Sus scrofa: one gene and its partner. The protein of the gene in region 2 interacts with the protein of the main gene of each other region in a biochemical or structural test. Links are inferred from orthologs where the notes say so. Each region holds a gene or a part of one and is shown on either strand. Other genes may lie near its edges. The genes, in order: FGFBP1 and FGF2.

Region 1 (7,887 bases), about 90 Mb from region 2:
GGAAGTCGAACGTTCATCTCTGGTGCATGGCTGTCTCTTCAGCAGACTCATCGCTCAATAAATTATGTGCTCAGTGAGTGAGTAAATGAATGAAAACATGCAAATTGCATGGAAAGAGCTTAGTGCAGTGCCTGGTGCATAGTGAGTGAGAGAGAAATATTAGTGTCGAGGATGGATGATGATATCCAAACACACTCTGAGGCTGTCACACTCTGGGTTGGCCACTGACAACCTCAGTGTAGGTCCTGGTAGGCTGGTGACTGTAGGAGACCCCTTTCCCCCTCATCTGCCATCGCTTCCTGCCACCCACTCGAGAAAGACTCCAAAGAGCAATATTTTAACCCACATCTGCTCTCACTTTTTGTCCTTTGTGGAATTGGGACATGACATTGGGGCTACACCTTCCTCTCTCCCCAAACCTTCGATTCAAACCCTTTTGGCTTTTTCAGACTAACATGTAAATGACTAACAACATCCCACCACCTTCCACCCATGTGATCTCTCCCATCTTTTAGGATCTGTCCTCTGCCTAAGGTGCCCAATTTCAATTCTGCCCTATTTCCTACTCCAAAAATTCAGCTCCAATAGCAGCTCTTGTGTGAAACTCAACCTGACATCTTCCAGAAGTTTCTGCCTCTTCTCTCTAGTTTTCCCCCCTGCCTTTCCCGCTTGTGATGGAGTCTTCATCACAAGCCCTGTACTTACCCAAGCCCCTCTCCCCGAGTCCGGAAATGAGCTCCTCAAGGTCTGAGTCCCACATGTGGCAACGGGCATCCCTGGTTTGAATCAGTGGAAGGTATTCCTTCAGCCTGTGGACTGGGTTCAAATCCTGCCTCCCCTCTTACCATCTGTGAGCCCCTAACCATTGTCTTTATCCCATTTTGCTTCCAGTATCCCACCTGACATCAATTCAGGAAGCATCAAATCAGTTCAGGAAGCATCACAGACCAAAGCACAAAAGGATGAGGAGTGGGATTCCAGAACAGGTCACCTATAGGCTGACTTGGGATGGGGGGCAAACAGGGTATTTTTCCCACTGATATATATATATATATATATTCCTGTTTAGTCATTCACTGAAATTAGACACAGAGAAGCCAAACAACAGTTGAACACAACATATTTCTGAAAAACGCATAGAGCTTTATTGTCTTTGTTCTTTGAGCAGGAAGTCATTGCGCTGAAATCATCCCTCTGACTCATTCAGCTCCAAGATGGGTACTTACTGCTCAGAGAAACGTAGCTTTGTGGGCCATGAAAACATAAAGACAGAGGTCAACAGCCTCTGACAATCACAGCTAAGGAAATGAATAGAAAACAAATGCCAAAACCACAAAAACAAAAATTACAAAATCTGTTTAAATAATCCACTGCACTCCCATAGCGCAAATGTTCCTTTTAACAGGGATCCGGGAGATCTTTACAGCATGTGGAAGGGCTGCGACCTGACACCTTCGAATGGACTCCGTTCTCTCTTGACCTCGTTAGCAGGAACTGCCCTGAACCATGGCGATGAAGAATTTGCAGAAAGAGCTCCAGGACTCTCCACAATAGTCCAAGGCCGTCTTTCTCTGGTGGACCATGTCTGGGTCATCCACACACTCGGGATCTTTGATGGCCATGGTCTGGGTCTGTGCTGGACTGGAGGGGGTGGTGTCTTTGACCTTGCTCTGCCCCCTGAGAGAGGGCTTCATTAACTCCTGGCTGGGTTTCTTGATCCTAATCAGAGTGGAGTTCACCAGCTTGAGATTGGATTCTGGAAACTTCTTTCTGCACACCCTGGTCTTCAGGACACTCTTGGAGTCGCCACAGATCATTTTCTGAGAGCGCAGGTTCCTGCCAATTTGTTTCCAATAGACATTCTTCTTGTTCGACTCCAGGCAAGAGGTTGGATTGCCAGTGAAGACACAGGAAAACCTGCTGTCCTCTCGGGTGCACTCGACCTTCAGGGCAATGCCCTCCTGATGCTCGGTCACCTCCCATCTGCAGTCGGCTTGGTCTTGGGTGATGAAATTGCCTTTGGGCAGGTGCTTGGGCAGCTGGCTTTTCAGCTCAACCTGGGGATTGTCAAGAGCGTGCGATTTATCTGCACTGGCTTTGTGGCCACGTCTATTCTTTCCTTCCTTTTTGGCCTCCACCAAGAGCATGGGAGCAGCCAGAAGGAGGAAGAAGAGCAGGGTGAGGCCATGGATCCTCATGGCTTCGGCTTGGTGGGAACCTGTTTGACAAAAGACAAGGTGAGTCAGGGCTGGGCTGCAGGATGACCCTCCCTCTACACTGACACGGGCCTGCCTGCTTAGCAATGAGATCAAGGAACTATCTAGTTCCTGGAATTAATAGCCAAGCAGTCTATTTGCGTTTTTGCTTGACTTGAGTCATGAGTGTCAGAAACCTCCTACTTCTCATTTGTTCCTCATCACCCTCTGAACCCCATTAACTCTCACTCCCTCCTCTCCTGTCTCAGTTACTCCTGCATTTGGTCACCTGTCAGTCATCATTCAAGAAGCCTTTATGGAACCCCTACTAGTAGGCAGGTGCTAGACTCGAGGTTGAATTTTTCAAGGTGAATAAGAAAGTCTCCCATCTGAAAAACTTAGAGGCAACTCTTTAGGGAAATCTAAATAGCATTAACTAGGAGTCTGTCCCAACTGTGTCCCCAGTTTGATCTTGGGCAAGTCACTCTCCCCCTCTGGGTCTCAGCTCCTTTATCTGGAAATCAAGATGTTGAAAGACGCTCATATCAACTCTCTTCCAGCCCCAGTGGCTGCATTTCCATCTCACTGCTCTACATGGACTCAGATGACCACGCCATGAGAAAGGACATCGTAAGTGACATGAATGGTGGTGTTTGACCCAAGGTCAAACATGTCTGAGGTTTGGACAGTCTGAGATGGGTGGGTGGGTTTGTGAGGAGGTGCATTTGGGCTCCAGTAAGAGCCTCAGGAAAGGCATGAGGAGGGGAGGTCAGGCAATTTGATTCCGCAAAGTGAACCAGAGTGAATTGGGGTGAATTTGGGAGTGCCTTCACTGGGTTGGGCATAGAGAAAGCCCTCAATCAATGCTTTTAAAAACAAATCATTGAGTAAATTGGATGACCTTAACTGCTACACTAAACTGCATAGATTTTATCAGGTGGGCAACAAAAGCCACACTGGAAAGAATTAGCACTTCTCTTTGCTACCTACTGTGTGCTGAGCACTGGGCCCATGTTTTCTTTTCTCACCTTTGTAAATCTGCACCAGAACCCTGCCTGGGAGGTAATTCACCACCAGGTAACAGCTATGACTGCGAAGATTCAGACTGGCAAATGAAATTGTTCAATATTCAATAGCGAGCAAGTAACAAAGTGGGGACAGGCAGCCAGGACTTCTCTGCCCCTCTCTGAAAGCCTCTTGCCTTCCCCTTGCTCTGCCTTTCAGAAACTATTGACAAGAAAGAAAGAAGCCATGATGAACCACTCAAGATTTGGCTTGGCTTAGTTTCCGATGATAAGATCATCATTATTATCAGGGCTCCATTTTAATTTTTTTTTTTTTCTTTTTACAGCCACGCCTGCGGCATATGGAAGTTCCCAGGTCAGAGGTTGAATCAGAGTTGAAGCTGCAGCTTACTGCACAGCCTGCACCAATGCCAGATCCTTAACCCACTGAGTGAGGCCAGGAATCAAACACCAGAAAAAAACGTGGGGTCCCTCACTTGTTGAGCCACAACGGGAACTCCTCAGTGCTCCATTTTAAAAAACAGAGATTTTTGTTTAAAAAGAGGTTCCGCCCTGGGCATATGGCCTCCCTCAAGGATGAATAAAGGGAAGACAGTCACAAAATGCAAGCTCCCAAAATGAAGGTTGGGGTAGGAGCTAGTTTATCAGATAAAGACCCCCTCATTCCTCGGGGGCAGGTCATGAAAGGGAAGAGAGCCAGGCTCTTACCTCTTTCTGAGCTGGCAGATCCCGTGCGGTCCCAGATGTGAGAGTGAACCCGTAGGCTTCCAGCTGCCTTACCCACGAGGTGAGGCAGGGACGGACCTTTATATAAGCACCGAAGATTTTACAACTCACACATGTGAGTTTTATGCACACGGCTCCCAGCCACGCCCCTTCAGAAGGAGCCAGTTCCTGCAGGGAAAGTTGTTGGTGTAATCCTGCAGGACGAGCCATGGTCTAGACCAGCTTCTTCCAACCCTTTCCATGCCCCCCTGCAGCCACTTGGGGAGGACAGCCTGGCCTTGCCGAGACCCTCTGCCTCGGGATAAGGACCCAGCAGCCAAATCCGTGGGGGAAGTTAGAAACAATAGCCCATGTCACAAACTCTCCCTTCATTCTCATGGTTCCAGCAGGCAGATAGTTAGGCATGAGCAGAGAAGTGGGGCACGGGGCCAGATGGCAGGAAATCACACGTCTTGCAAATGGCAGGGTCCATGGGCAAAGAAAAGCAGGAACTTCCAGCCTGATTGGAAACCACACATTTTAGGGTAATAAGTGCCCTGGAGGCAGACAAAGAAATGTGGAAAAGGGCTCGAATCGGAATGTAGCCTGTCGCTCATGATGCCCTCATTATAATAAAATCATAATAAAATTAGCTATGTAGATAAGAAGTACCTATCTTACCCCAATGGCACGACACTTCCGATAAAAGCTAAATAAAGACAAAAATCCCTCCTCCCCTTGGAAAAGTGGGGCTGGGATGAAAAATTAAGGAATAAGACCCCCAAACCCCACCTTCCCAGTCAATAGCCCACCCATGCAACTGGATGCCCCTTATAACCTGCGTATCAGAAAAACACAGGGCAGCTGCTCGCCCCTCTGCCTGCTTCTCTTTAAAAGGGGTATTTCTCACTTAAATCCTCACATTGCTTTCTCCATTTCCGTCTCATTTCTGAATTCCTTCTGCGACAAGAATTAAACCTTTGAGAACATGGTTATAGCTCCTCCCGACACGAACCTCTAATTCATCCCACTCTACAGATGGATATGGGGGCTTGGAGTCTTCAGGGCTTGTCCAGGATCACAGGGCTGGGAGGATGAGGGGCCCTGGGTTTAAAGCCTAGATGACCTGGGTTCATCGTCTGATCTCTTCTTAACCGGATACTCTCAATAAACATTCGGTGACTGAGGGACTGCGCTGGGGAAACCACCTCAGGGTCTGAATTCTTGTTTTCACGGAGGCACCTGAAAGTCCTGTGTGTGTAGAGGAATCTTTGGGCCCTGAGAGGCCCAAAAGGAGGAAATATCTGATCTGGGTTTTTGTGGAAAATATTTACCTTCTAGTCACAGGTGGGGGCCTCACCCAGGTCAGCCTTCTCTAGGCAGTCTGGTAGAATGACCTAGTGGAATGCTGAACCCAGCTTTTGTTGAGTGATTTTTTTTTTTTTTTCTTTTTAGGGCTGCACCCATGGCATATGGAAATTTCCAGGCTAGAGGTTGAATCAGGGCTGTAGATGCCGGCCTACACCACAGCCACAGCAACCCAGGATCCAAGCTACGTCTTCCATCTACATCACAACTTACAGCAACTCTGGATCCTTAACCCACTGAGCAAGGCTAGAGATCGAACCCATGTCCTCATGGATGCTAGTCAGGTTCATTAACCACTGAGCCGTGATGGGGACTCCTGTTTCGCTGTGATCATAACTTCTCTGACTTTCCATTTGTTCATCTACTGACAGCTGACTGTACCAGAACCTCATTTAGGGTTTCATACTAAAGCATTTAGGAGGCTGAGCTGTTAACATCAGGGGAAGCAGATAAGATTGGTTCATAAGATGGCCTTTGGTTGTATTCTTTAAAAACAGATACAGTTTGTTTTCATATTGAGTCTATTTAAAAAACTCACTTCCACAAAGAGGGGGTCTTTACCATACTGGGTGACTGTATTTTTCTCACCGACGTTCAGGCACAAGAAATTTTTCATTTTCTTCTTGACTCAGCTGTAAGGAAAACAATAGCACAAGAGTGATGATAAATGGCAACCGACAATAAGGAGTGGCGGACATGTGACAAACTGGGTAGTTCCTGATACCTAGATGTCAATACTCGGTGCCAGGTGACCAAAAACATGTTGGCATAGAGTTCGATATTTTCACACCTAATGAATTTTCTTCACACGTACATTTAAAAAAAATAAAAATGGACATTTCAGGAGTTGTGGTTCAGCAGGTGAAGAACCCGACATAGTGGGTTCTTCACCTGCTGAACCACATGAGGATGCGGGTTTGATCCCTGTCCTCGATCAGTGGGTTAAGGATCTGGCGTTGCCACAAGCTGCAGCGTAAGTTGCAGATGCAGCTCAGATCTGGTGTTGCCATGGCTGTGGCACAGGCCTCAGTTGCAGCTCCGATTCAGCCCCTAGCCTGGGAAATTCCATATGCTGCAGGTGCAGCCTTAAAAAAGAAAAGAAAGAAACGACATTTCATGAACTTTTAAGAGACCCCCCAACTTCCAAATGTGTGTATATGGCATTTGGTTGGCATCTAAGTGAAAATTTTCTAAAACATTGTCCTGGCCCATAAGAAGGATACAGAAAATTGTAACCGTGGTTGGACTCCATTCAAGTTCCACCTGTTTGAGAATTCCAAGGTCACAGAGCTATGGAGGACCGAGGTTGACTTGTTCACTCAGTTGTTCAAAGGAATTCTTCATGACCTCCTTCGAGGAAGAGGCTATTTTCCCAAACTCCAAGCCTCCTGTAAAATTGGCTCATGCTCACCCTGAGATCCATCCCCTTTGTTCTGACCTCCACCTTATTGAACCATGACCCGCATGAAGAGGCACTTACATGGTGGTATCAGGATGGAGGGGCATTATTTGGACCCAGGAAAGACAAAAACTGCTTTGTCAGCAGATATAGACCAAGGTGGTCTCCAGCAAAGGGAGAAAATCATCTTGATCCTCAGGGGGCAGCCAGACTTTTTCTGGAGAAAGACTGCAGGTCAGAACACAAAGCAAATTGAGAAGGAAACATGGGGATTCCAGGATCTTTTCTGAGAAGTGTCTGGAAGGGAAAACATGGAACTTCCCCCATTGGCTTTCCACGGAACTTCAGGCTCCCTATGATCTTATCCTAACTTCTGCCTGAACTTTCTTTTCCAAACAGGGGACGATTTTAGATCAGACTATGCAACCCTTTCCCTGTTAGCATAGCCTGTTATTTCTAACTCATTTCTAGTCGGGTACACACACACACACACACACACACACACACACACACTCCAATCTGGCCACACTAAGTCACCCACCCACCACTTCCTGAATACTTGGTGGACTTGTCCCCTTCCTGCCTTTGCTCCTGCTGTCCCCTTTATGTGGAATGCACTGCCAGTCCTCCTTTGCCCCAGCACACATGGGTTCCTCCTTCAGGATCCAGCTCAAATGTCATCTCCTCCCTGCTGGTGTCTGTCATTGGTCCCCTGATCTTTCCCCATGCCCCCTTTTCATGGATGTTTATGGAGAGAAAGAGACCATTCACTCCCAATGAGTGTTTACAACATGCCCGCCTTGTGCTAAGTCTGTGTCCACACATTAATGCACAATTCGATATACTTAGGAAAATGATATGCTTGCACCACAGGTGCAAAATACAGACTTTAGCAAAACACACAGCAATATTGGTTCAGCAGTTTTATAAATGTGGCATCATAACCCAAACAGTTAACCATAGGGGAACTTGGGTGAGCTGTAGGGCAGGGGAACTGTCTTTGCAAATATTTGGTAAAGGTAATACTATTCAGTATCTTGTAAAGGTATGCCATTTAATATTTTTAAAAATACATATTCATAGTCTTTGTTTTTAAGAGTAGGTTTGGGTTCCTGGGAAAATTGAGTGGAAAGTACAGAAGATTCCCAGATTGCCCCTGTCCTTCAGAAACACAGCTGCCCACACAGTCAGAATT
Region 2 (7,851 bases):
TTGCCACGAGCTGAGGCATAGGTCGCAGACGCAGCTCGCATCCCGAGTTGCTATGGCTCTGGCGTAGGCTGGTGGCTATAGCTCCGATTAGACCCCTAGCCTGGGAACCTTCATATGCCTTGGGTGCTGCCCTAGAAAAAGACAAAAAAAAAAAAAAAAAAAAAAAAAAAGATTGTGTGTCATCTGCAAATACAGATAGATTTACTTCTACATCTACAATGTGGATACCTTCATTTCACTTCTGGCGTAATTATTCCATTGTAAGACTCCACCCTTACGATCTCATTTAAATTTAATTGCCTCCTGTAAAGGTCCTGTCTCCAAATACAGTCACATTGGAGGTTAGAGCCTCAACAAATGAATCTGAGGGTCACACACTTCATTCCATGACAGTTACCTACAACTTACATGAGTTGTAAAGTTGCTCAAAGATACTGGGACCCCATAGAATCAGCTAATTTAGTTCTACTAAGATAACTCCTATTCCATTGAAGATATTTAGTAATCAATTTTTTCTTTTCGATTTAAGAGTCTTTCACATTTTCCCCTACATTAAAAAAAGTATTTGCTATTCTTATATATTTATCCAAATGAATTTTACATATTGTTAAATAGTTTTAAAAACTGTGCTAAAATTTTGATTATTGTTTAAAAATTTTAAATATGGTTAGAGGAATTTGCCACTGTTATTTTACTGTATGTTTCCATCCAGGAACATTTGAGATTTTTTTTTTTAAGCTCTCATTAAGTCTTTGTACTTTTCATCATTTATATTCCGAACAATTCTTATTAATTCCAAGGTAATTTATCTTGGTATTGTGAGGAAGTTCTCCTTCTGTTATAGTTTCTAAAGCATTATCTAAAGATATCTAAGGTATCTAAAGCATTGAGGAGTAAGTCCTCCTTCTTTTATAGTTTCCAAAGCATTTTCAGTGGAACCTAAAGGTTTTTAAAATTAATGTTTTCAATTCATCATCTTATAGAATTCTACCGTTGATTCTAGTTATTTTTCAAAATTATTTTTTTATTTTCATCCTTATAGTTGGGTGAATTGAGAATGCAAGTAAGTCGATTGCTCCTGGTGCAGCTGAGACCAAAATGATTGTATGGAAGAATATTGTCTGTCTCTCTGTGTCCATACAAGTGTGTGTTGAGAAGGCTGTGGGTAGGAACTTGAGACAACTTTCTTAATGATGTCTTCTTGGAATTAACACTATTTGCCTTGGAGACCTAGATTCCTAGAACTGGCTTAACCATTTCTTGTGATATCCTGACTTTGAAGGAATTAGAAAACAATCAGTTACTGTACATGGGATGCAATTCTACAAGACCGGTGGTCTATTAGCATACAAATTACTTAACTGCTTGTAGCTGTTCCCCAAATTTCTGGATACTACTGTTTAAAAATATTTTGACTTAGCTTTTATCCCTTTGGTCTTGGAACACAGGTTTCTGTGACAGAGTTCAAGACTTACTCAAATCTAACTTGATTTCAAAGTAAGGGGCAACCTGAAGAGTGCTGCAGTAGCTTCAGGCATTCCCTGGGATACCTACAGAGATCATCTGAAAGGGAGCTCTTTGTTATAACAAATTTTCGGTGCAGAGTAAACCTGTCCATTTTGGAGAGAGATGTCAGAGAAGCCGAATTGGCCCAGATTAAGCCTGGTTTTAAAGCTCCAAAGAATTGATGCACACTCTTATTTAACAGCTTAGAAATGCACCTGGAGTTAAACCTCTCTTGGAGACATGAACAAATGCACTCATGGATAATCTTTCAAAAGCAAACATGTTCTTAAACAGAGGAACTTCTGTATTCTCACCTCTTCCTAGAAGCTTTCCCTAGCCCTGACTACCCTCAAGCTGATTTTGTTTGTGTTGTTCATGCTCCCTATTGTCGCCTTCACTGTGCCAGAAGATCCCATGCAATGAGGCTTTTCTCACTGCATTTACTGAAATGCTTTGCACACAGTAGGCGCTCAGTATATGAATTTTATGGACCAGTATTTTCCTTATCTGTAGTACCTGTTATATTCTACTGAAAGTTAGCGAAGTGCAATTAACTTTAATTTTGTAGTTTGGGATTTTCAGAAAACTACCCTCCTTCCAAGAAATGCCTAACAGTTTAGCTAGAAAAAGACATTAACATGCTTCTAACGTGATAAGGATTTGAGACCCATCTTCATCTTTACACGTTGTCTAATTCAAGTTAAGTTAGTAAAAGGAAAACTCTTTCCTTTTAGCAACCCAATCCTCTCCCCTTCTCTGGCCTCTTTCTTTCCTTCTGTTAGTAAACTACTTCAGCCTCTGCCTTCAATTTTAACAATTTGTGCCTTGCGGGTACCCCTCATCTTTCGGTGATTAGAGAGGTTCAAAACCTACTGTGACACACAATCCTCCCTCGCTTCCGATTCCTCTATTTTTTTCCGGGGTGGAAATAGTTTCTCAGCTTTGAAGAGCTGGCAGGGAAAAAGAATGGGGGAGAAAATTGCATTTAAACTTTGAAAAGTTGAGTCACGACTGGTTGCACAGCAAAAGCTCCTCACTGTGGAGAAAGACTAAATGTCGTTTGGGTGGCGCGGGGTTGGGCTGGGGCGCCTTCTGGGGAACCGGCGGGGTCGAGGGCTCTGGAGCTGCGGAGGCCTTGGCTTTGGCCTCCTGCCGCGCCCCCGCATCTCCCCCGCCCGCGACTGCCTTCCAACTCCCTTTGGATGTCGCGCGCTTGCGTGAGGCAGCCGGAGCGGCCGACCCAGAGGCCGGCCCCAGAAAACCGGAGCGAGTAGGGGGCGGCGCGCTGGAAGGGAGGAGGGCCGGGGGCGTGGGGGTTGGTGGGCGTTTGGGGGTGGAGATGTAGAAGATGTGACGCCGCGCGGCTCGGCCGGTGCCAGACCAGCGGACTCAGAGCCCGCAGTTGCAAGCCGATCCCGGGCGCTGCAGTTTGGGGAGGCGGCCCTGCCGAGAGTGGCGGCCGCCGAGAAACCCAGCCCTAACCCGCAGCTCCAGGGCCGGCGGAGAGCGAAGCGGCCAAACAGCACGAGGCTGGGGGCCCGCGGGCGCGGCCGCGTGCCGCGGGGCGGGAGGCTGGGGGGCCGGGGCCGGGGCCGCGCTCCGGAGCGCGTCGGAGGCCGGGGCCGGGGGTCGGCGGCGGCGGCGGCGGCGGCTCCCCGCGCGGCTCCAGGGGCTCGGGGACCCCGGCAGAGCCCTGGTGGGGCCATGGCAGCCGGGAGCATCACCACGCTGCCCGCCCTGCCGGAGGACGGCGGCAGCGGCGCCTTCCCGCCCGGCCACTTCAAGGATCCTAAGCGGTTGTACTGCAAAAACGGAGGCTTCTTCCTGCGCATCCACCCCGACGGCCGAGTGGATGGGGTCCGGGAGAAGAGCGACCCTCACAGTGAGTACTGGCCCGCTGGTCCTCCCCAGCGCGGTCTCCATCTCGCGCGGTTCTCTCGCCTGCCTTCCAGTCCCCGCTCTCCTTCTTTCCACTCCGACCCCAGTGGGACTTGTGGTTTCTCTCCGCGCTGCCCTCGGCGGTTTCAGGTTCACCGCTCGCCCCCTCCTCCCCCGAGCTGCGGTGGCGGGTAGACGCTCCCCTAGGCTTTGGAGTGTGCCGCTTTCCCCTGGTAAACCAGTCCTCTGGGCCCGGAGCCGCAGGGCGCCCCGGCCTTGCCGGCGGCTTGCTGAGCGCTGACAACCTGTCGTATCCGGGATACCCCGCGGCGGAGCGGAGGTGAGCCGCCCGCCAGGTGCCGCCCGCGCCCCCCAGGCTTGAGTTTCGACCCCTTCTCTCTGGGATGCACGCAGTCCACCCCCCACCCCCCGCCCCCGCAAAGCCGACAGCAGCCGTATTAAAAGGGAAAATACCATAAGAGCCGTGTCTTTAAATTCCAATTCGGTAGGATCCGAGGTGGCTGGCACACTGCTCTCGTCCACCCACTTCTGTTTTTTCCTCCGAATTTTCGAAAGCTGAAAGAAAAAAACGAATGGGCTTTGTGCTATAGATTTTCGTTTCAGTTCTAAAAAGAACTGCAAAAACTTTAATTTTCCATTTGCAGTTATTAGGTTTGGGACCTCGAGAGATACTTAACTTGTGAACCCGTTTCCTCTTCCCGAAAGTGGGGATATTATTTACCTTGCATCGGGTTTGAGGATCAAATAAGAATTTATATAAAGTTATATAAAGTGCTCAGAGGATTCAGTTTACTAGTCTACACTTTGGTTTACTGTAAAAAAAAAAAAAAAAGAAAGTGTTTGTGGTTATAGAAATAAGTCTGGCCTGAGTTATTAGTTCTCAAATTTTAGGAGTGCCTTAGAATCACATGGATAGTTTGTTATCAGGCATGGAGGAACCATCTCCCACAGTTTGATTCCTTCGGTCTGGAGTGGGGTCTGATAATTTGCGATCCCTGGTGATGTTGAGGCGGAGCACACTTTGAGACCCACTGGTCTAGAGAAAAGGGAAGAAAAGGGCATAAAATGAGCTGGTTAAAAAACATTGATGAATTTTAAGTGAAAGAAAGAGGATCAGATGTATTTTAACTGTCATCCTGTAAGTGTAGCTGAAACATCTGTTTTAAAAGCTGTTCTGCCTGGCCTTTCTCTATGGGTTTCAGGTGGAAATTTCATCCTCTTTTTGCATTAGACCCACAGGAGTTTACCTTTTGATGCTAATGGTATGTCCTTCACCCTCGAGGGAGGGGTTAGGAAGAGGAGAAAGTTCTGCAGCCAAACCTGAGTTGACAAATTCTAGAATGGGAAATGTCCTTTTGTAAAAGTTGGGTCCTAATTGATTCCGAAACAGCGAAAGATGCAGGTCTGTAATTTTTTTTCAGGTCTGCCATAATTTAAAAATTTTACCAGCTGCTTACCTTATCCAGTAAAAACTGAAAAGATGCTTGTAGCCCAACATATGGGTTAATGCTCTTACTCTTTTTTTTTGTAGCTAAGTAGGTTTCACAAATTATCTTTGGAGTTTGTTCTGCAGTTGGCTGCCAGACTAGCCCAGCTGATTAGGGCAGGGTGCATGCATATATACCAGTTCATTTTGTCTTTTCTAGGAGTTTAAGAAAGACCATGTTGTTGTGAGTAGAAGACAGAACTCTTCTCCAGATCAGATTCATGTTGGGGCTTCCCCTAGTACTCTTTTTTATTTTTTTTCCAGTTATCTTATTAGTTACATTTTTTTCCACTTTGAAGCTTCAATACCCTATTTCCTTTAGAATAAAAGTGTATAGGGACTAGCAAGTGAGGATAATTCTGAACTGCACACCACATTACCATCCTTGTAAAGACAACCATTAACGTTAACTCTCAATTCTGGATTGAGTTGTCATTTTTGTAATCTGATTTTAACCCAGTGGTAATCAAATGGGGTTGATACCTATCCCCATTCCTACTCCCCCCATTTGGCAATGCCTGGAGACATTTTTGGTTATCATACGTGGAAGGGTGCTGCTGGCATATAAGTAGAGGCGGGGATGTTGTTAAACATCCTACAGGACACACAGTACCTCCTGCATCCCTCAGCAAAAAATTTTCTGACCCAGGTGTTAATGGTGCTAAGATTGAGAAACTCTGCCAACTTGATAACCAGCTAAAGAGAAGATGTTAAAAGTGAAGAGTTTATGGAGATGATTGATTTTTTTAAATCACCTTTTACCAGGCAATAGACTGACAGGAATGTAAATCTAAAAATGATGAATTTGGACTACTTTTATGTATCCCAACCTGGACATAAGTTTTAAGTGCAATATTTTTTTCCCGGCATATGGAATGTGTCCTGATGGTTGACCAAACCAAGAGGAAACTTAGGGGAAAGAGATAAGAAAAAAATGAATATGGACATGACATAACAATATACTTTCAACCACATCCTCTCCATTCTTCACAACAAACAAAACTGGTCTGCAAACTTGGAGAAATAAAGCAGAGTTAATGGTTGCTACAACTTCCCACTGAATTAAGGCTAGGTGTCTGGACTGGTTTGAAATGCTGACAAACCTAAGGCCCCATTCCTCAAGCTGTTTTGCTCAATGGACCTGAAAAATCTACCATTTGAGAGTTATTCCTTTGGTGTTAACACCTTCTGTCCAGCTGTTACTAACATGCAAACACAGTCTGTGCCCCATATCCGAGGGTTCCCCATCTGTGTATGGAGATGGAGGGCCCACAGCTATGCCATTTTTCCATGAGGGACTCGAGCCTCCACTACTGTTGGTATCTGCTGGGGATCCTGGAACCAAACCCCCATGGATACCAGGGGAAGACTGTACCTCTGAAGAGTTCAACCATTATTGGATTTTACCACTTGGTGTGAGTTAAGTTGTGTGCAATTTCTTCCCTGAAATCTGACCAGAAGGACTGAAGTTGAGGGAGGGAAGCTTTGAAGATGGCGGCATAAATGTGGGGCACTGGTTAGGTGTGGGGGACTTGGCTCAGGTTGTGAAAAGATGTAGGGCAGGAGGAAAGCGGGAGAAAGGAAAGGGAATGTAAGGTAAGGTGACTGAATCCCAACTACTCAGTATTGCCAAAGATCACCTGTGCTTCTCATGTGGGTTCTTGCTTGAGTTTTCACTTGAAAAGAACTGTTTTCAGAGTTCCTGTTTGGGCTCAGCAGTAACAAACTCAACCAGTATCCATGAAGACATGGATTCTGTCCCTGGCTTTGATCAGTGGGTTAAGGATCTGGAGTTGCCGTGAGCTGTGGTGTAGGTTACAGATGCTGCTTGGATCTGGTGTTGCTGTGGCTGTGGGTTAGGCCAGCAGCTGCAGCTCTGATTTGACCCCTAGCCTGGGAACTTCCATATGCTGTGGGTAAAGCCCTAAAAAGAAAGAAAAGAGGGGGTGGGGGAGGGGAGGAAGGAAGGAAAGAAAGGAAAGAAAAAGGAAGGAAAGAAAGGAAAGAAAAAGAAAAGGCCCATTTTCCTGCCCCTGTTTTGTGATCCTGGAATAACCTTCATTTGACATGAGGTCTTGATAAAAGCAAGGTAAAAACAGAGTCTGCTTCCCCGGTGTGTGTGCCGCACCTTCACCTTCCTTTTGGCATCCTGGTTACTTTGCCAGCCCCCTTCCAAAGGTCCATGGGACTGTGTAACATTAAGTATATGCTCCAAAGTAGTGAACTATGTGGAAACATTCAGAAGAGAGAACATTTTCTCCCAAGTAGCATGTACAACAAGTGGTGGAGTATAGCAAGGGAAAAGTATGCTGCTTGTGTACATTTTAGCATTAAATATATTCCAGATGTTCTTATTTTGGAAAAAATGAAGGTAGTTAGAAGCGCTGGATCTCCTCCTTGGGCTTCTCCCAGAAGGTGACTGCCTGCTTGCCACACTGCTCTGCTTCCAGGCTCCAGACAGAGAATGCTGAGGGGGACCTGTCCACTCCTCTGTGGAGCAGGGATGGGATCCCCATCTGCTTCCTGTCCTCTTTGCTACGGCACAGACTCCATGCAAGCCCCATCATTAAAAACACAAACTTGTGAAATTGAGAGGGAGGCATCAGAACGTTGAGTCCACCAGTCTCATTTGGCAGAAGATATTGAGGTTCAGAAAAGTAATTGAATGCCTGGCTTTACCTGCCGATTCTTGCCCACCTGGCCCCTTGCCTCCTACCCCTGCTGTCCCTCAGCCTCCTGGACGGATCTCTTCCGTTCAGTCACAGAGAGCCTTCTGGGTCCTCCTTTTAGGCTTCCTCTCTTTCTGGGTGTTGACAGAACCTGCCCCTCTGAGGAGTTCTTATCAGTTCATAGGCTGCCCCTGATTGTTTTCCTGGAGGTGTTGGAGGAAAACACCTTTCCTTCTCTTCCTTTAAGTACATGGAACTTTCGATTGAATGATACCAGATTCTCTCCTCACC

Evidence for each region.
Region 1: the proteins of FGF2 (region 2) and FGFBP1 form a complex in vitro, tested with the Homo sapiens proteins (2 studies listed by BioGRID and IntAct, with this or other methods). The link is inferred for Sus scrofa from reciprocal best matches to the Homo sapiens genes FGF2 and FGFBP1.

What each region holds. Positions count from the first base shown.
Region 1 is NC_010450.4:11,185,240-11,193,126, forward strand, and holds FGFBP1 (fibroblast growth factor-binding protein 1), read right to left. Parts: upstream 4,079-7,887; 5' UTR 3,929-4,078; intron 2,219-3,928; 5' UTR 2,199-2,218; coding exon 1,485-2,198; 3' UTR 1,121-1,484; downstream 1-1,120.
Region 2 is NC_010450.4:101,338,793-101,346,643, reverse strand, and holds the start of FGF2 (fibroblast growth factor 2), read left to right. Parts: upstream 1-2,559; coding exon 2,560-2,723; intron 2,724-2,780; coding exon 2,781-3,388; intron 3,389-7,851. UniProt on the Homo sapiens protein: Acts as a ligand for FGFR1, FGFR2, FGFR3 and FGFR4. Also acts as an integrin ligand which is required for FGF2 signaling. Binds to integrin ITGAV:ITGB3.